Saccharomyces cerevisiae S288C: one gene and its partner. The gene in region 1 interacts genetically with each later gene. Each region holds a gene or a part of one and is shown on either strand. Other genes may lie near its edges.

Evidence for each region.
Region 2: mutations in YLL006W-A (region 1) and YNR064C together harm fitness more than expected from each alone (negative genetic interaction), as found in Saccharomyces cerevisiae (one large-scale study listed by BioGRID).

What each region holds. Positions count from the first base shown.
Region 1 is NC_001144.5:126,723-137,021, forward strand, and holds YLL006W-A (uncharacterized protein), read left to right. Parts: upstream 1-9,622; coding exon 9,623-9,799; downstream 9,800-10,299. Other genes in the region: YEH1 (sterol esterase), read left to right, coding at 1-533; rRNA-processing protein SOF1, read left to right, coding at 801-2,270; PSR1 (phosphatase), read right to left, coding at 2,608-3,891; copper metallochaperone COX17, read right to left, coding at 4,483-4,692; DRS1 (putative ATP-dependent RNA helicase), read left to right, coding at 5,007-7,265; LMO1 (Lmo1p), read right to left, coding at 7,580-9,577; ERMES complex subunit MMM1, read left to right, coding at 9,864-10,299.
Region 2 is NC_001146.8:745,686-756,381, reverse strand, and holds YNR064C (epoxide hydrolase), read left to right. Parts: upstream 1-6,373; coding exon 6,374-7,246; downstream 7,247-10,696. Other genes in the region: DSE4 (endo-1,3(4)-beta-glucanase), read left to right, coding at 1-636; YNR066C (uncharacterized protein), read left to right, coding at 1,347-2,657; YNR065C (uncharacterized protein), read left to right, coding at 2,682-6,032; PUL4 (Pul4p), read right to left, coding at 7,616-9,439.

The DNA of each region.
Region 1 (10,299 bases):
TGTGCGTTGGTGAGAGCTTGTTCTCCTTTGTTTGTTACACCATCTTCAATTACCTGTTTGATTGGAACGATACCCTTTGGGATACCGCATTAAGAGATCGCCATTTCCTGTTTTCGCCAGTCCATGTTTCAGTGAAGTTGATGCAATGGTGGCTGTCACCCGACCCCAACAAGGTAAGTTTTAAATTTGGTTCCCATAAGATGTTCCCCGACAATGTTAAGTGGTTTTCAGACGCATCAAAGGCCCCAAATATCTACTTGTTTGTTCCAAAGCAAGATAGATTGGTGGACGGAGAAAGACTAATCAATCATTTCGTCAATGTGGAGTCGAATGTCAACTACAAGATCTGGTACATTGATGAGTATGCCCATATTGATGTCCTATGGGCACATGATGTCATAGAGAGAATTGGTAAACCAATTTTACAGAATTTGAACAACTATTACTCCAAGAAGCCATCCAGCGCCTTTGAAAGTGATTGTTCGGACACAGAGGTGGAAACGGAGCTGGAAATGGTTGCTGAGAAGGCTTGAAGAGGAAGCATGATATATAGGTTAATATAAATTATACTTGGGAATACATAGATAGAGGGCTAGTAAATTTTTAGTTTTTAATTGTTCTTTTTTTTTGAAGTATTGTGTCACAAATTGTCGGGAGTTGGGACATCACCGTGCATAACGATACATTTTTTTGAAAAATTTGATATTGAAAAAAAATCGATGAGTTTGAATTACATTACAGTTGTATAAAGCAACCGCATTTCATTAACGTAGTTTGACTCGCGAAGATAAGGCGTTAAAATGAAGATTAAGACCATTAAAAGAAGTGCTGATGACTATGTCCCTGTTAAAAGTACGCAGGAATCTCAAATGCCCAGGAATTTGAACCCTGAATTGCATCCTTTTGAAAGGGCACGTGAATATACTAAAGCTTTGAATGCCACCAAATTGGAAAGAATGTTTGCTAAACCCTTTGTGGGTCAGTTAGGATACGGTCATAGAGATGGTGTTTATGCTATTGCCAAAAATTATGGTAGTCTGAATAAATTGGCTACTGGTTCTGCAGATGGTGTGATTAAATACTGGAACATGTCTACTAGAGAAGAATTTGTTTCCTTTAAGGCGCATTATGGACTCGTTACTGGTCTTTGTGTGACACAGCCTCGTTTTCATGACAAGAAGCCAGATTTGAAGAGCCAAAATTTTATGTTATCTTGCAGTGATGACAAAACTGTCAAGCTATGGTCAATAAATGTTGATGATTACTCCAATAAAAACTCCAGTGATAACGACTCCGTTACTAACGAGGAAGGTTTGATTCGTACTTTTGACGGTGAATCTGCATTTCAAGGTATCGATTCGCACAGAGAAAACTCCACGTTTGCCACAGGTGGGGCCAAGATCCATCTTTGGGACGTTAACAGATTGAAGCCAGTTTCCGATCTATCATGGGGAGCAGACAACATTACTAGTTTAAAATTCAATCAAAATGAAACAGATATCTTGGCCAGTACTGGTAGTGATAATTCTATTGTTCTTTACGACTTGAGAACCAACTCCCCCACACAAAAGATTGTTCAAACAATGAGGACGAATGCTATTTGCTGGAATCCAATGGAGGCCTTCAACTTTGTAACTGCCAATGAAGATCATAACGCCTACTATTATGATATGAGGAATTTATCACGTTCATTGAATGTATTCAAAGATCACGTCAGCGCAGTAATGGATGTTGACTTTTCTCCTACGGGGGATGAGATTGTTACTGGTTCGTACGATAAGAGTATCAGAATATATAAGACGAATCACGGACATTCGAGAGAAATTTATCATACGAAGAGAATGCAGCATGTTTTCCAGGTTAAATATTCCATGGATTCTAAATATATTATCAGTGGATCTGATGATGGGAATGTTAGGCTATGGAGAAGTAAAGCTTGGGAGAGGTCTAATGTCAAAACTACTCGTGAAAAGAATAAATTAGAATATGACGAAAAATTAAAAGAAAGATTTAGACATATGCCGGAGATCAAAAGAATCAGTAGACATAGACACGTGCCACAAGTCATCAAAAAGGCTCAGGAAATTAAGAACATTGAGTTGAGTTCTATTAAGAGAAGAGAAGCTAATGAAAGGCGTACTAGAAAGGATATGCCATACATTTCCGAAAGGAAGAAACAAATCGTTGGTACCGTGCACAAATATGAAGATTCAGGAAGAGATAGGAAAAGAAGAAAGGAAGATGACAAACGTGATACTCAAGAAAAGTAGTTATTCTGTTTTATGTTGTCTGTATATACACATATGTACAATATTTGCATTTTTTTAATTTTTAATTCACATGTATTTGATAAATGTTCACGCCAGTCCCGTTAAATTAAAATTACCATTTTATTAGATTATGAATTTATATATGAATACATTGTGTCGTAATGGTAGAAGAAGTTGAAAAAAAAAATGTCAAGGGACAGCATGGGTACAGTGTGTTGAGCCAAAAAAAAAAAGAAAAAAAAAGAAAAAACTTTTTGTTCTCTGGTTCTTTTCTTCATCTTCTTCATCTTCATTCTTTGGTAGCGGGGGCCACAAGAAATTCGGGCGAAAGTGCTCATTATATTGTTACATCCAAAATTTTGCCCACATCCAGTGAGGTTTTCACAGAAAGGTCTTCTAAAAGAGGAATAATATCTAATAATTCGTTATCATGAGTATCTGAGAACCAGGACGAAATCGGTATTGCATGTTGGGGATGAAAAATATAAGATGCCGGAGAGTTATCGAGAATGATGATATCTGATAACGGCCTTCCAATCTGGGATAAGTTTTTTATATAGTTTCCTTCATAGTTATAGCAAGCCTCTCTGAATAATCTGTGATGAATGACTTTATCTGTGTCTAATATATCAAGCAAAGGATCACCGTATCGAGAGACACTAGCCGTGAAGACTACAACCTCGAATAATTTTCCGACTCTTTCCAAAAATTCTTCCACACCAGGTCTTTTAATGACATAGACATTGTGTACTTGGTCATCTATTTCCACAGACAAAACAAAATCCGCAGATCGTAAGTATTTGAAAGAAGAGTGTACCAAGGTTTCATCCAGGTCCAGTATTAGGCATTTCTTGCCCTTTGTACTTTCATCTTGTGGGGGGAGCAGAGTGTTGTAACCTGGTGCATGATACTGGCCCTGCTGCAAAAGCGTTAGATCAATATATTCTTCATCTTCATCGTCTTCGTCGTCGGCATCGTTGGAAGTTTCACTGGCTTGAGAGCTGCTACTTACCCTACTCAAATTCATATCTTGGATAAGATGGTCAGACGATACTTGTACAGTAGGCCCTCGCTGCTGCGACTGCGACTGCGACTGTGACTGTGACTGTGACTGGGGTTGTGGTTGTGGTTGTGACTGTTGTTGTTGTTGCTGCTGTTGTTTTTTCTGCCTGGAAGTATCTTTCACAGCATCTCCTTTTTCCTGTACAATGCCACGACTGCGACGGTTATCTTCATCGTCGATCTCTTCATCTTCGTCAACCTCGTATTTTTCCTCGTAAAGATCATCTTTACTAATTCGCTTCTCTACTTTTGTCATATTATTAGTAGTAGTGGCGGTGACGGCTGCAGTCGGCGACGATGGCTTCTTTTTTTCATTATCGTTCGTGCTTATCCCAGATTTACCGGTGGATCGTTCAGTGGAACTGAAAGTAGCGGCTGAATTTGTCTTAGAAGGAGGAGAGTTTGTCTGATGTACGCCACGGGTTCGGCTTTTCGTGTTGGAATGTTTAACGCTTCTGTTTTTATTGAGAGAACTGCTCTGTTGTTGGCGATAAGCAGAATTGGAATTGGATTGTGTCGTCTCGGAAGAGCAGCACAGTATTGACGATATGAAACCCATACTGTTTTGCTACTTATTGTTGTTAAAGCTTACGAACACGAATGTAGGCAAATAAAAAGCTTGGATAAACGCACAATGAAAGGGGAAGTGCGATTGATTATGCTATAAGGAATGACACGAAGAGAGCAGACTATAGGCTAGGCAGGCGATAAAGGAAGGAGTTGTACTTGACGACAACGTAATAAAGAGTTCAATGAAAGAGTATTGTGAGCAGTATGGTTCAACGAGCACTTCTTCTCGACACCTATTTCTATACTTTTTCACTTAATATACACTAACTAATCCCAGACTTTTTTTTTTTTCCGTTCTTTCCAGAAAAAAAAGAAACAAAGCAAGCGTGCCCTGACTTAGGGTTTCCTAAAAAAGTTATTAGGTTTGTGTCACGTGATACGTCCTTTTCTGGTCACGTGGTCTTAGAACACTCTTAAGGGGCCAAGCACAAGAGGACAGTGCTAGCAGTAGAAGTGGTGTAGTAGTGATGAGGTAATGTTAATTGTGCATCGCACATATTTACAGGTAGTATATACTATAGTTTGTGAATACCTATTCTTATATATACAAGAAATGGTTGTCGGCAGACTGTCAGTAAGACTAATTTGCACTTGGAACTTCGAAGCCATAACCCTTCATGCACTCTTTGTACTTTTCAATGAATTCCTTGCATTTTTCAGAGTCTTGTCCATTGAATAAGATGCATGTATCCCGCTCCTCCTTTTCTGGCTTACAAACGCAACATGGCTTAGGTTTGTCCTCGCACTCCGCGTGGTTTTCTTGTTCTTGTTTCTTGTCAGTTTCAGTCATTGGGTATAATTGATTGTGTAGTTATCTGATTGTGTACACTAAAATTTTGTTTAGTTGTACTAGAGACAAGTAGTTAGGTGGTTACTAGATTCTGATTCGCCGCTATATATCGTCATTTTATCTTTTTTTGAAGGAGATAGGTAGGGTTATAACATTATCCGGGTAATGATTTGAAAAAAAATTTTCAAAAAATGCGATGAGATGAGGTTGAAAATTGTAAGTTAGAATATGCTTAGATAGTATGAGTATTTACGTTGGTAACTTGGGTTTCGAATTGGAGCTGTGTGCCTACAACAGCGTCTTATATATATACTATGGTGGTAGGAACTAAAAAATACTCTAATTTGGACTTTGTCCCTACAATCAGTGACAGTGAAGACGATGTTCCAATTCTAGATTCTTCTGATGACGAAAAAGTCGAGGCTAAGAAGACTACGAAGAAGCGGAAGGGTAAGAATAACAAGAAAAAGGTTAGTGAGGGGGATAACCTCGATGAGGATGTTCATGAGGACTTGGACGCGGGGTTTAAGTTTGATTTGGACGCCGATGATACCACTTCGAACTTCCAAGGCTGGAACTTTCTAGCAGAGGGCGAGTCCAATAAGGACGATGCCGAAGCTTTTGTGAAGAAGGACGTTGACTTGGATAAGATTATTAGAAGAAAAGGTGGGCTGGTGAAAATGGCCCATATTGATAGTAAACAAGAAGAAGAAACCGAGAAAGAAAAAGTAGAAAAAGAAAACGATAGCGACGATGAGGAATTAGCAATGGACGGGTTCGGTATGGGAGCTCCCATGAACAATGGAGACGAAAATCAGTCAGAAGAAGAAGAAGAAGAGGAGGAAAAGGAAGAGGAAGAGGAGGAAGAGGAGGAACAAGAAGAGATGACGTTAGAAAAAGGCGGCAAAGATGACGAAATAGATGAAGAAGACGATTCTGAAGAGGCAAAAGCCGATTTCTATGCGCCTGAAACTGAGGGAGATGAAGCTAAAAAGCAAATGTACGAAAATTTCAACAGTTTGTCTTTATCTCGTCCGGTTCTTAAGGGCCTTGCAAGTTTGGGTTACGTCAAGCCTTCCCCTATTCAAAGCGCCACAATCCCCATTGCCTTATTGGGTAAAGACATCATTGCCGGTGCTGTGACTGGTTCCGGTAAGACTGCTGCGTTTATGATTCCCATAATCGAGCGTTTGTTGTATAAACCAGCCAAAATCGCTTCCACCAGAGTTATTGTTCTATTGCCCACTCGTGAGTTAGCTATCCAAGTCGCTGACGTTGGTAAACAAATTGCACGTTTCGTCTCCGGTATAACCTTTGGTCTGGCCGTTGGTGGTTTGAACTTGAGACAACAAGAACAAATGTTGAAATCTCGTCCGGACATCGTCATTGCTACCCCAGGTAGATTCATTGATCATATCAGGAACTCAGCAAGTTTTAATGTGGACTCAGTAGAGATTCTGGTTATGGATGAAGCCGATAGAATGTTAGAAGAAGGTTTTCAAGATGAACTGAACGAAATTATGGGCCTATTACCAAGCAATAGACAGAACCTATTGTTTTCTGCTACAATGAACTCCAAAATTAAAAGTTTAGTTAGTCTTTCTCTAAAAAAACCAGTAAGGATTATGATTGATCCTCCAAAGAAAGCTGCTACTAAGTTGACACAAGAATTCGTTCGTATTCGTAAAAGAGACCATTTGAAGCCTGCCTTGTTATTTAATTTGATTAGGAAATTGGATCCAACGGGTCAAAAGAGGATTGTCGTTTTTGTGGCTAGAAAAGAAACTGCTCATAGGTTAAGGATTATCATGGGTCTTTTAGGTATGAGTGTGGGTGAATTACACGGTTCTTTAACCCAAGAACAGCGTTTAGATTCCGTTAATAAATTCAAAAATTTGGAAGTTCCTGTACTTATCTGTACGGATTTGGCCTCCAGAGGTCTTGATATCCCCAAGATTGAGGTTGTTATCAACTACGATATGCCCAAGAGTTATGAGATCTACCTGCATAGAGTTGGTCGTACCGCCAGAGCTGGTAGGGAAGGTCGTTCCGTCACCTTCGTCGGTGAATCATCTCAAGATAGAAGTATTGTACGTGCTGCTATAAAGAGTGTAGAAGAAAATAAGTCCCTAACTCAAGGTAAAGCACTTGGTAGAAACGTAGACTGGGTTCAAATCGAAGAAACAAACAAACTTGTTGAATCCATGAACGATACGATTGAAGATATTCTGGTGGAAGAAAAGGAGGAGAAGGAAATATTAAGGGCTGAAATGCAATTAAGAAAGGGTGAAAATATGTTGAAGCATAAAAAGGAAATCCAGGCAAGACCAAGAAGGACATGGTTCCAAAGCGAATCAGATAAGAAAAATTCCAAAGTATTAGGTGCTTTATCAAGGAACAAGAAAGTCACTAACAGCAAAAAGAGAAAGCGTGAAGAAGCTAAGGCAGATGGCAATGGTGCACGTTCTTATAGAAAAACCAAAACCGACCGTATTGCAGATCAAGAAAGAACTTTTAAAAAGCAGAAGAGTACAAATTCAAATAAGAAGAAGGGCTTCAAAAGCCGTAGGTAATAATTTTCATCGTCATTATCATAAAATATCAACATACTTATCACTGTCATTATATTATTAATACTTTGTATTTAAATATCATTAATTCATCTAATAAACAGGGGATTAGTCAAAAATTCCTTTTTTTTTGTTGAATCTGTAGAAGTGAGTATTAATAAACTGCAAGCTATATGCTATATTAAAAGGATTTTTCAAGTACAAACGAACTGAATGGAGACTCAAGCTACTTGCGGGAAAGAATTACAAAATTACATTCCATTCTAGTAAAAAAAAGTTATAAATAAAAAAAAATCGTCTGACGACAAATTTGTATCTTAATCAAAATAAAAATTTTGGGTTACTTTCTTTAACGTTTCCAAGTTATAAAATTCTTCATCTTCGTCCTCGTCGCTTGGTTCAGGTGGAGGCACTATGATGTCCTGACGAACGTTCAAATTTATCATCTGAACATTTTTCCTCAAATCAAATAAAGTGTCTATTTGTTCTTTCGTGTCTTCTGATATATCTTCATGCTGGAATGGAGATATCAATTTCAATCCGTCTAGCCATATATATCTTCCCTCTTCTGTGTCTAAATAAAATTTCAAAACTGTCCTGTCGTTACGATCTTTTAATTCAACTCCAGTGTACACATTGGCTTCATCTAATTTGATGTAAACATTACTGCTCGTCCGACGACTCGGTGTAGTAAGTTCTATGCTTTTGAAAGAGGTTATATGTTTCAAAACAACAACTTTTGTTCTGCCATTAGCTAATGCCTCAGAACCTGGACTTGTTAAAATTTTATTGTCGAATAGATAAGGTAAATCGTTTGTTTGTGTTTCGAATTCTCTGGCTAATAAATTTGCGTGGTTATCTGAAACTATGAGGAAGTAGACTTTAGGCGTGCCAGCTTCAGGATTCAGTGGGTTCTCTGCGTAAACCCACGTTCCCTTTTGCAATTGAAGAAGTCTTTGATGACGAACGTAATCACGAACCTGGCCTGATAGCATGGTATCGAAGCTAGCGATACTAGATGACCAGGTTCGATACTGTTCTTTTTTGATTGAGTCTAATTGTAATGTTCTTGCAAATTTATATCTCATAGAGTCAAGTGCAACAACTTGGGTCTTGAGAAGGGATTTCGTCTGTATTGCTGCTTCCAAATCACTGGATGACAAACAAACATATTTTAAAGTGATAATAGCTAAATTTAACAGTGAAACCAAATCACTTTGCGATTTTGCTAATGATTCTATCCAAAATCTCAAAAACAACTCGAGTGTTTTGTAAAAACATGTTTGTCGATTGAGAACAGCGGTAGCAATTTGTAATTTTAAATCACGCTCTGAGTCTGAGTATTGGTTCTCTTTTTTCCCACTTAGATTGAAAAGTCTTCTAAATTGGTCTGAAAGTTTAAATATTGCTTCATAAAGAGGGAAATCGTTCTCGCCAAACAACAATTGTTCAGTGTAAAGTCTCTTGAAAGACCCATTAGGACTGTTTAAGAATGTGAATGTATCATACGCATTTAATAAATTTATACTGGGAAGATCGCCCATTTCCATTTCTAACCCTTTTTGGAATACGGAGTTATCTTTGATGGCTGTAAGAAGATCAGCTTTAAGCGAACAGGAATAATCATCAATACTAACCGAAGATAGAAAATTTATTAGCCTCTGCTTTAACGGTACAAATTCTTCAAGGATTAGTGGTTGCAAGTCTTCTATGTAAAGTAATTCAGACATGGAAGCTGGAAAGTTATACTGAAATAGCAAAATGAGGATTCTGGGTACAAATTCTACGGCGTGTGATAGTGATGTCTCACATAATGTAAGTGAGCATTTTAAAAATAGGGTTATGCATAGTATAGTGTCCGTAAACAACGGTATATGAATAGGTCTTTGGGACAAAAGTTGTAAAAGTATTCCAATGAGCTGAGAGTTCTCTCTGGAGATGTGGCAGATGCTCACAATAACTTCATTCTTATTAGAATCTTGGCATTTAAGGGCTACATTAAAAATCCTAATGAGATTTGCTACCAACGTTTCTGACCTTAGCTTTTGGCAATTATCACACAATATAGCCCAAAATCGGGAATCTGGAATTACGGTTTTACATAGGTATTTTTCATCACAAAGGAGGATATAGTTTGCCAATAACTTTTCGTATTCATCACTTGTCTTGTTCAAATTTTTATTACTGATCAGCGTATGATAGCAAGCTTTTGATTGTGCACTCGTAAGTGACTTGACTGGCTTTCCTAATTTAGGATTCAGTAGCACTTTTATGTTTTCCAAGCTTTCATCTGGCATCTGCCTGTTATGCTTCATTGCTTATGCCGTTATTTGAGGTTACTTTAATCTATTTTCCTACTGATGACACAATTGAGTCAATCCAACGTGGAACGGGTTGCCCTTGTATACATTTCAGTTTACTTCTTTTCATGTATTTCCTTAATAGTTTATTTTTTCACTTTCTGCCTATCCGTTTCAATTCCGAAGAACCGTCAACATCCAATAAAGATCATCTACAACAATAAGTGCCCCTCATAATTTTCTCAATGAGATGAAAGAACTTTGAGAGAGTCAATATAATACCTGTAGCCTTTTTCTGAAAATGACTGATAGTGAGAATGAATCCACCGAAACGGATTCGTTAATGACGTTTGACGATTATATAAGCAAAGAGCTACCTGAACATTTACAGAGACTAATCATGGAGAATTTGAAGGGTTCTACTACTAATGACTTAAAGCAAACTTCAAACAACTCAGAGTTTAATGTCAGTAAAAACGGGAGCTTCAAAGGTCTCGATGATGCAATTCAAGCTTTGCAAATGCAAAGCGTGTTGCATCCTTCTTCGTTAGGATCGTTAGCAACGTCCTCCAAATTTTCTGGATGGTCGTTTGCTCAAGGGTTTTTTGTAGGACAGCTAAGCATAGTGTTGTTGTTCATCTTTTTCCTAAAGTTCTTTATATTCAGTGATGAGCCATCTAAAAGTAAGAATCCGAAACCTGCAGCCTCCCGTCACAGATCAAAATTTAAAGAATATC
Region 2 (10,696 bases), on another chromosome or scaffold:
CCATCTGAAAAAGATGAATACTTTGCACAATCGAGAATGTTTGATTGGTTCAACGGTCATTCATGGGCAGCTGGACTTTATGAAAACGGTAACGGTAAGAACGAAGAAAGTAGTAGTGAAGATTACAATTTTGCCTATGCTATGAAGTTATGGGGGGCCACTATCGGTGACCAGTCAATGGAATTGAGGGGTGACTTGATGATTAGTATAATGAAGGATGCAATGAACGACTATTTCTATTATCAAAATGACAACACAGTTGAGCCTGAAGAAATCATAGGAAATAAAGTGAGTGGTATTTTATTCGATAATATTATCGATTATACTACTTATTTTGGAACAAACACAGAATATATCCACGGTATTCATATGCTACCTATCACACCAGTTTCTTCTAATATTCGTTCTGAGACTTTCGTCGAAGAAGAATGGCAGACTAAAATCGAGCCAATTATTGAATCGATAGAAAGCGGCTGGACAGGCATATTGAAGCTGAATCAAGCACTCTTCGACCCAGTAGATTCGTATGCATTTTTCAGTGATTCAACTTTTGATTCATCCACATATTTGGATAACGGAATGAGTCGCACATGGGCATTAGCATTTTCAGGGGGACTGGCCAACTCAATTGCTTAGAAAGAGAACTTGGCAAGCAGGTCTGTCGAGTCTTTCCCACTACATACATATTTTATAGAATAAATCATTTTTACTTAACTTGAAAGTTGTTGCGTTCGAAAAGACCACGGCTAACGGAGACCACTTAGGTAAATGCATGCCAGTAAGAGGTATATTAGTACTTTAATGAATGAACTTAGCAAGGTAATGCCTGCACTAAAATAAAATTCTAACGTCATCCTAAGAAGCATCAATTGGACATAGTGAGGAAAAGTTTTCACCATTTAAAATTTGTTTTGCAGAATACCATTCTAGACTATGATCCCTTAGAGATTCTCATTCTTTAAATATCAGCTTCAACAGCATATCTTTATAGTATTATCGTACTACTGGCGACATTAGCAAATCAAAGTATTTTTGCTCAGTTTCTAGTTTTATCTGTTTGATTCCCCATTAGATGGTAAACACGTTGTCTTGATGACTGAAAAGGAAGTGAACATGGTCAACTCAAAATAACCAGACTCAAAATAATTGCAATTACCTAGGCTAGATATTTTTAGAATATTATGAGAATATTTTTAGAATATTTGCAACCCAAAATATATTTAAATGCCGCCAATTTGCAACCAAAAGATTATCCGCTACCTTTTTTTTAGTCATTGAATCGTAGCATAAAGTTCCGAGCTTTGAAAAAAAGCTTTGAACTAAGAAAAGGTAAGAGATCCTCAATTATGATATTACTCCAAGTCATATGCACGATTTGGACATGTCTCTTTATTCCGTTACTCAATGCAGAGGAATTCGTCCCCAAAGTAACGGAGACTCTTTCAGAATATTCATTTAGTCTAGAGAGCTTTGACGATTCCAACAGTTTAATCAGATTAGATAATCAAGTCGTGTGGATAAGTTCCGATTCTGGAGAAAATTGGGAAGCGGTCAAAGAAATTGAAGGGCATATTCTCGAATTAATTGTTGATCCTTTGCATGGACAGGACAGGGCTTTTGTTTCGATACATTTATCACCCAAATTTTACGTCACCGATGATCGTGGAAAATCATGGAGGGCTCTGACTATACCCGTCTCTGAAAACTGTCGTTTGGGTACTTCTTGCTCTATAGCTACCCATCCGACAGATAAAAAGTACCTTATTGCAGATTGCCCTTGCTTTATAAACGACAATGGTTATATCCAAATACAAAATGAAACTTACTTTACCAACGATGGGGAATCCTTTTACAATATCGAACCTTCCTTGAAAAAGAAAGAAGATGACCATATAACAAGTTCAAGCTGCAACTTTGTCAAATCTAGCAAGGATTCTGATATTGAGGGTAACGACGCTTCGATACTATGTTTGTTCTCGAACCATGGTTACGATAGCGATCGTCACTTAAGTGCCGCATATACACAATTAGCCTTAAGTACTGATGGAGGTAAAACTTTCAAAAAATTTGATGAGTTTAATGATAAAATTATTTATCAATACAAGATATTAAAATCACATATAATCGTTTCGACACAAGATGATAGATACAATGAAATGTCACCCATGGACATCTGGATATCCAATGATGCGTCTACTTTTCAAAAGGCACGTCTACCTGCTCAAGTACGGCACGTCCATATGTATGGAATTTATGAAGATTCTATTGGAAGAATAATCATTCCTATATCTACGATATTCACAGATGAAAAAAACGACCAACCAGCTCCCTCAGAAATTTTAATATCAGATTCTCAAGGGTTGAAATTTTTACCTGTTGAATGGACAATAAATCCTCACTTTGGTTATATTGATATTGCTTCTCCTCATTTCTTAGAAGGAACAATAATTGGCTCGTTTCATCCTTCCTTTGACTACTCTCATAACAAAGGAAAATATAATAAAAAGATAGCCAGATATGAAACTAAAATATCTGTTGATAACGGCCTCACATGGTCAAATTTGAAAGTGGTTGACGAGGAAAATGCAGATTCATTCCCTTGTGATATCACTAGGCCTGAAAGATGTTCGCTCCAGAACCCTTTTTATAGTATCTAAATCTCAAATCCTACTGCCGGAATTATGTTAATGACAGGTTCCGTTGGCGACGGTAGTGAATTCGATTGGGAAGACCAAAAAACTTTCATCTCTAGAGATGGCGGTTTAACGTGGAGATTTGTTCATAATTCTTCTGGGTTATATGCTACTGGTGACCTGGGAAATATTATTGTGTATATCCCATATGATCCAGAGGAAGATGGCGATTTTCAATCTGAATTTTATTATTCTTTGGACCAAGGTAGAACATGGAATGAATATGAGCTGACCAATGCCATAAGTTCTGTCCATCCCTACAAATTGATAAATCCAACACCAGATGGATCTGGCTCAAAATTTATTTTTAAAGGAACGTTTGCCACTACCGATTCCGAAACCAACAGTATAACTTCTTTAAAAGGTGTCGAGTATATAATTGATTTTTCAGCAGCATTCGACTCTAGAACGTGTGAGGAGGAAGATTTTGAAGATTGGGATTTGGCGGATGGGAAATGTGTTAATGGCGCCAAATACAAGTATAGAAGGAGGAAACAAGACGCCCAGTGTTTGGTAAAAAAAGCATTCAAAGATTTGAGTTTAGATGAAACGCCTTGTAATAGTTGTGGTGAATCCGACTACGAATGTTCGTTTGAATTTGTTAGGGACGCAAACGGCCTGTGTATACCAGATTATAATCTGATTGCCTTTTCCAACATATGTGACAAATCGAAGGATAAATCTGTGTTAGTAGAGCCATTACAATTAATCAAAGGTGATGAATGTAAAACACCCATGAAAATTGAACCCGTTGATATTCCGTGTGACGAAATTCCAGAGGAGGGTTCGAGTGACAGGGAAATAGTGACCACTGAAAACAAATTTGACTTCGAAATTAAATTTTACCAATACTTCGATACAGTTGCCGACGAATCTTTGGTCATGCTGAATTCGATAGGAGACGCCTATATATCCCACGATGGTGGACAAACAATAAAAAGGTTTGACACTAACGGCGAAAAAATTGTTGAAGTTGTGTTTAACCCATATTTCAATTCTTCAGCATATTTGTTTGGCTCTAAAGGTAACATATTCTCAACACACGATAGAGGACACTCTTTTATGATAGCTAAATTACCTGAAGCCAGGCAATTAGGTATGCCACTAGATTTTAGTGCTAAAGCACAGGATACTTTTATTTACTATGGTGGCAAGAATTGTGAATCAATCTTAAGTCCAGAATGTCATGCAGTAGCATACCTCACCAAAGATGGAGGTGAAACTTTTACAGAAATGCTTGATAATGCAATTCATTGTGAGTTTGCAGGCACACTCTTTGAATATCCGTCAAATGAGGAGATGGTTATGTGCCAAGTAAAAAAGAAGTCTTCAGAAACAAGAAGCTTGGTTTCTTCGATAGATTTTTTCCAAGGTGATAATAAAATTATCTTTGAAAACATTATCGGCTACTTGTCCACTGGTGGCTATATTATTGTTGCCGTACCTCATGAAGACAATGAGTTGAGGGCATATGTAACTATTGATGGTACTGAGTTTGCCGAGGCAAAATTCCCGTATGGTCAAGATGTTAGTAAGCAAGAGGCATTCACTATTTTAGGATCTGAGAAAGGATCGATATTTTTACATTTAGCAACAAACTTAGAATCAGGACACGATTTTGGAAACCTTTTGAAATCCAACTCGAATGGTACTTCTTTTGTCACTTTAGAGCATGCCGTTAATAGAAACACATTCGGTTATGTCGACTTTGAAAAAGTTCAAGGTCTTGAAGGTATTATTATTACCAACATCGTTTCGAATAGGGAAAAGGTTGGAGAGAACAAGGAAGACGAACAATTGAAGACGAAAATCACCTTTAATGACGGTTCAGATTGGAACTTTTTGAAGCCTCCAAAGAAGGATTCGGAAGGGAAAAAGTTTCCCTGTGATTCTGTATCATTAGATAAATGTTCTCTACATTTGCATGGTTACACTGAACGTAAGGATATCAGGGATACATATTCCTCCGGTTCCGCGTTAGGAATGATGTTTGGTGTCGGAAATGTTGGCGATAAGCTTCTACCATATGAGGAGTGTTCCACTTTTTTAACCACTGATGGAGGAGAGACGTGGACTGAGGTTAAAAAAGGCCCCCATCAATGGGAGTACGGTGATCATGGTGGAGTCTTGGTTTTGGTCCCCGAAAACGCAGAAACTGATTCTATTTCTTACTCCACCGATTTTGGTAAAACATGGAAAGATTATAAATTCTGTGGCGACAAAGTCCTCGTAAAGGATATAATCACCGTTCCCAGAGATTCTGCTTTGAGGTTTTTGCTATTTGGAGAAGCAAAAAACATGGGTAGTGGTTCATTCAGAACGTATACAATTGATTTTAGAAACATCTTCGAGAGGCAATGTGAGTTTGATATTACGGGTAAAAAAAGGGCAGATTTTAAGTACTCTCCTCTGGGTTCCAGAACTGGTTGTCTATTTGGTCATCAAACCGAGTTTTTACGTAAAACCGATGAAAAATGTTTTATTGGGAATATTCCACTTTCTGAATTTTCGAGGAACGTCAAAAACTGTTCATGTACGAGGCAAGATTTCGAATGTGACTATAATTTTTATAAAGCCAGTGATGGTACTTGTAAATTAGTCAAAGGCTTAAGTTCGGCGAATGGTGCCGATATCTGCAAAAAGGAACCCGACTTAATTGAATACTATGATTCCTCTGGCTATCGAAAAATTCCCTTATCAACCTGTAAAGGTGGGCTGAAATTGGATGCACATTTAGCACCACATCCTTGTCCGGGAAAAGAAAAGGCATTCAGGGAAAAATATTCTATAAACACCGGCGCTTATGCGCTGGTTTTTGTTACAATTCTTCTCGTTATTTTCTTTGCCGCATGGTTTGTATACGATAGAGGTATCAGGAGAAATGGGGGATTTTCAAGATTTGAAGAAATAAGATTAGGAGACGATGGGCTGATAGAAAACAATAGGACCGATAGAGTTGTCAACATCATTGTAAGACTAGGATTATGCATTTCTTTAATTACCAAGTCTGCATTTCAACGCACGAAGGCAGGTGTAGCACGCTTTTCTTCAAAATTAAGGGCAAGGTTTGGCAACAGAAAAGGTCCTACTTACTCTTCGCTGCTTCAGGGTCAGTTTTCAGATGAATCAGATGGCTTGCATGAAGATGCTAACGATTTATCCAGTTTCACAAGTCAAGACAGTAATTTTGAAATTGAACAAGAAGATGCTTACAGACCCGAACAAGAGCACACGTCACAGATAGACCAGCCTGCCACTAGCAATATTCCAGACGCATTGCCAGCACGTAGTGCTATTCACAAGCCTGATTCAACTGCTGTGCGCAACGAGGACGAGTAAATAGATTTTTTTAATAGACTAAATAATCGTATGTTTGCTAACAAAAAGTACGCATATGCATTTTCTCAATATTGTGCATTTTCTAAATCTCCATTCACCTTTGTTATTAACATAGTCATTTAAAGGTATGATAATTCAGTATTCATCTTTTCCACAGACGGCGCTGCATGCCATTCGTCTGTAACTTGCCTAGGGACTGCGCCGCACATAATCGTGACAGAAATTTCAAAAGTGATAGGAGCCAAAAGTGATAGGAGCCAAAAAGAACATATATAAGCACGATCAAATTAACTGAACTTGACCACTTTTCTTTCACTGTCAGAATTGGACGAAGGACAAAAATGTCAAATATCATTGCAAGATTTCACAAGATTCAAGTTCAAGACGGTGTAAAGGTTTGGTACCGTGAGGCCGGTGCAGCAGGTAACCCCACAATTTTATTGCTACATGGGTTCCCTACATCTTCCAACATGTTCAGGAACCTCATTCCCTTACTAGCTGGACAGTTTCACATCATTGCTCCGGATCTTCCTGGGTTCGGATTTACGGAAACGCCAGAAAACTACAAGTTCAGCTTTGATTCCCTTTGTGAAAGTATAGGATATTTGTTAGATACTTTGAGTATTGAAAAATTTGCCATGTATATATTTGATTATGGATCTCCGGTAGGTTTTCGGTTAGCCTTGAAGTTTCCCTCCAGAATTACTGGCATTGTTACTCAAAACGGTAATGCTTACGAAGAGGGTCTCGATGACCGCTTTTGGGGTCCGTTGAAGGAATATTGGAAGTCATATCAAAGTGATCCGGTATTTGTTAAATCCCTTATCCCGTACCTTGAAGATCCAGCTAATGTCATATGCCAGTACCATGATGGAGTACCAGCTATCGAATCTGTTGATCCCGCCGCTTATACGCTTGATATTGCGCTAATTCAGCGTACCGGCCAGACCGATATTCAATTGAGATTATTTTTCGATTATCAGAATAATATAAAGTTGTACCCAGCCTTTCAAAAGTTCTTGAGAGATTCAAAGATTCCTGTGCTAGTTGCATGGGGTGCGAATGATACTATTTTTAGCGTTGCCGGGGCTGAAGCTTATCGGAAAGACGTTGATAATTTAAAGGTTGTTTACTATGATACTGGCCATTTTGCGCTTGAAACTCACGTAGTTGCTATTGCCGAAGAAATCATCAGTATGTTTGCAGAAAATTAAAGATACTAAGTTCTTGTGACAATGTTTTCTGAGAAGAATCTCTCGTATTTTGTTTAATTGCCAAAAACACATATGTTTCGACTCACATAGAGTTGCCTCAGAGCGTTCTTTTGTTACCCATTATTGCTCATAAATAAGTCAAAACAGATGTCTGGTCGCATTATCAAGGGTTTGTACTGGTAGCCCGGTGACAATATATTAATCTAAGCATATAACATTTTTAGTAAGTTCTTCAGCCACCTTTTTTACGATCTATGTTGTTTTGAAGGGTAAACCTACTACCATGTCATATGGATCTTTCCCCTAGTAAACTTGTATCTCAAAAGGTCATTTCTGAATAAAGTGTCAAAAAATCAGCTAGGAAACGGTTTAGTAAAGTATGCGACCCCAAAATTCGACAAAGCTATCACCACTCAGCTGTACTGGACTGATCGGATATTTGATTATATCAATAAGGTTTTGTTCAATAGGAAGTACCTGAACTAAATCTTGCAATATTTCCAATGCTAGAATGTATTCAAATAGTTCAGTACCTTTAAGGAACTGCACCACCTGCTTATACCTTAGGAGTATAATACATGAAATACATAATGTCAGTGACGCTGTTCTTAAAGGATAACAAAAATTCCAATCCAAACGTTCATGCCTTTCCTTTTCGTTATCGGGAAACTGTTTAGTGTATTGACTCCATATTTCGTGAATTATTGATTTTGCCATGGTTACTGCTTGTAAGGATTCTCCAGTGATCAGATACGGACGATATAATAGAAAAGAAGCTTGAGCTCTTAAACATGATAGCTCTAACATTAAGACTCTGCTCCTGTAAAAAAGATGTTCTTCGAATATCGGAAAGCCTTTTAACCTGGTAATCTGGAGTGAAACCTCCTCAAATTCTCTTTCTAAGTTTACGAATGGTACCTCGTTTGCGGTGCTGGAAGTATATAGCCGTTGAAAAATCTTACTTTGTAGAGTGGCTAGCTTGATTCTGATTTGCATGAAATCTATCAAAAGTTTATTAGTTTTATTGCGGGGGGATATTTCACACGGCAGAGGTGTTGTAATTTGTTCCAAAGTGATAAAAGGATTTTTTCCATGAATTGTTGCCAACATGCAAGAAGAACACCAAATGTTCCAAAAAAGCAAGATCACACCAATTCCGTCGCTGTTCGACTCAAGTAATTCCTTGCATTTTGTATTGTTGTTCAAGTTTAAAGCCACAGCAAGTTGTAAAGCATTTATACTCAAATATAATTGGTGCTCTAAGGATATCATCATCGTCATGAAATTTGCCATTAGAACGAGGCCGCAAAATCCATCGATTGTGGGATGAGATAACAAGTCGGGAACAAGCGTTTTCGCAGCATTATAGTACTTAAAAGCATCAGTGGTCAGTTTTGAAATACTATTCTCCGGCAAAAGTGGACGATTGTCTATGTTCGAATGATTCAATAGTTCCCTTTTTCGTATGGTCAACGACCCCAGGCACAATACAGTTGAAAGTAAAAACTTTTCATCACTATTTCCTTCTGTACATTCCAAATTTGGGTATTGGGATTCCAGCTCATATAGATGCCATTTTGATATTCCTGGTACGGAGTGAAGCTTGTTCTCAAACAAGACATCGATTAGCCGAGACCTCGTAGGAGCGTTATCTTCGCTCTCAGTTTCTTTAACCACACCGCTTAAGCCTGTAGCAGTAGGTGAATAGGAAAGACTTTTTTGTTCCTTTGAAGGTGAATTATCGCCTAATAGTTTTAAAAAGTCATCGAAATCTGTTGTCTCAGTGTTAAACTCATCGAAATCAAAATCGATCGGAAGAGAAGTGTCCCACCCGTCATTATTAAAAATCACAGCATCATTTGTGCCAAATCTTGATATATCAATATCTGAATCGAATTTTGGCGCTTCTTTCTCATATATATGAGAAGAAAGGTCTTCATTTAGTCCTTTGTTCTCTAGTATAGAGTTATTCCCGTTATCGATAGTATTATTCTTGAATAAAAAAACCTTCGACCCGTTTTTGATTTTTCTCTTGTCTTTCCTTTTATCAATATTATAAATGCATTCTTTTGGTGTATTTAGCCTTATACATCTTCCACATGGCTTGTTCCCATCGCACTTCAACTTTCGTTTCCTACACACAGTACAGGCCAAACTAATAGATCTCTTTCTAGCGTCCTTAGATCTGTCCATACTGCTTGTTGCGAACGCTTTTGTAGTTTTAGATTAAGCTCTCACAAGGGATATTATTAAGGGAACTTGATGGTCGACTTTAATTGAATCTTAGATGACAGCATCAAAGAGAACAGACACAGTTTTTCAGCGATGCCCGTAAAAACAATAGATTTTTTTTTTAAGTCGAGATGCTTACAAAGTAAAGAGCCTAATAGACCTCTATGTAAAAAGCATCAGATTATTCTTCAAACTCAAGTGACTTGGCAGCTACTGTTTTAACATACGGGCAAACAAACTTTAGGTGGAACGCTGGTTTCTGAGGTTTTCGAATTTGGATACTTGCCAGAGGAGATAAAATGTAATGAAGTTTTCTTATGACAACTTTTATTCTGTACTGGCCTAATAATAAATTAGTTTTTACCAAGAACATTGCATGTGTGCCATCGGAGCCATTTGCCAAAGACCAGTTTCTAGATAAATACATTCTTGAATGAAGTTTAATTTCTGATATTTTGTTAGCTTCAAAAGTTATTCATAATACTCTCACTTTACTAAGTTACATCTAAATATAAGGCTCAGGATATCCTTCTGGGTGAATAGTTCTCGAGAAAGCCCATTAAAACTGAGCTATTCTATATATGTATGCTTGAGTGTAGAGCTCGAATTATATAAAAAAAAAAATACATTACTGTGATCCGCCAGGAAAAGGCAGTAAAAAAAGCTGATACATATTTACAACGGCGAATCGCGAAGACACTTACTTTTCTCACATGCCTTTGTCTTTATGCTTACAAAGGACCACTTTACTTATTCTTCTAGTCTTTCGCTTCGACGTCGGAATCTCAAAAAAATATGGGACAGCTGTCTGGAAATGGGGGACAGTCTAGGTAATTAGAATTACCAAACGCCTACTGTTCTCTTCTATTACTAAAATAAGTTGATTTTACTATTTTGATACAGAAGTATAGCGCCCAAACAAGCCTATCCCATTCTAAGCGGAACAAAATTTCCTAATCTGGAAAAGAATCGCCGTCAATAAATAATCATCATATAAAAGATCAGTTAACATTACTTTCTAGTTGTCAAGTACTCTTTCGTTCTTCTTAATTGTATCTCAATTGCATTACAAATCCATCCATTTCACTCGACGGTGGTACAATAAATTAAAATGAAAAAAATCTTAGGTGTCAAGAAACACATGTTTTTGAAATACTTGGCTGTAATTTTGATAGCTGTCCAATTCAGTTTCGACTCCTGTGTATATCTCTCAAGTGT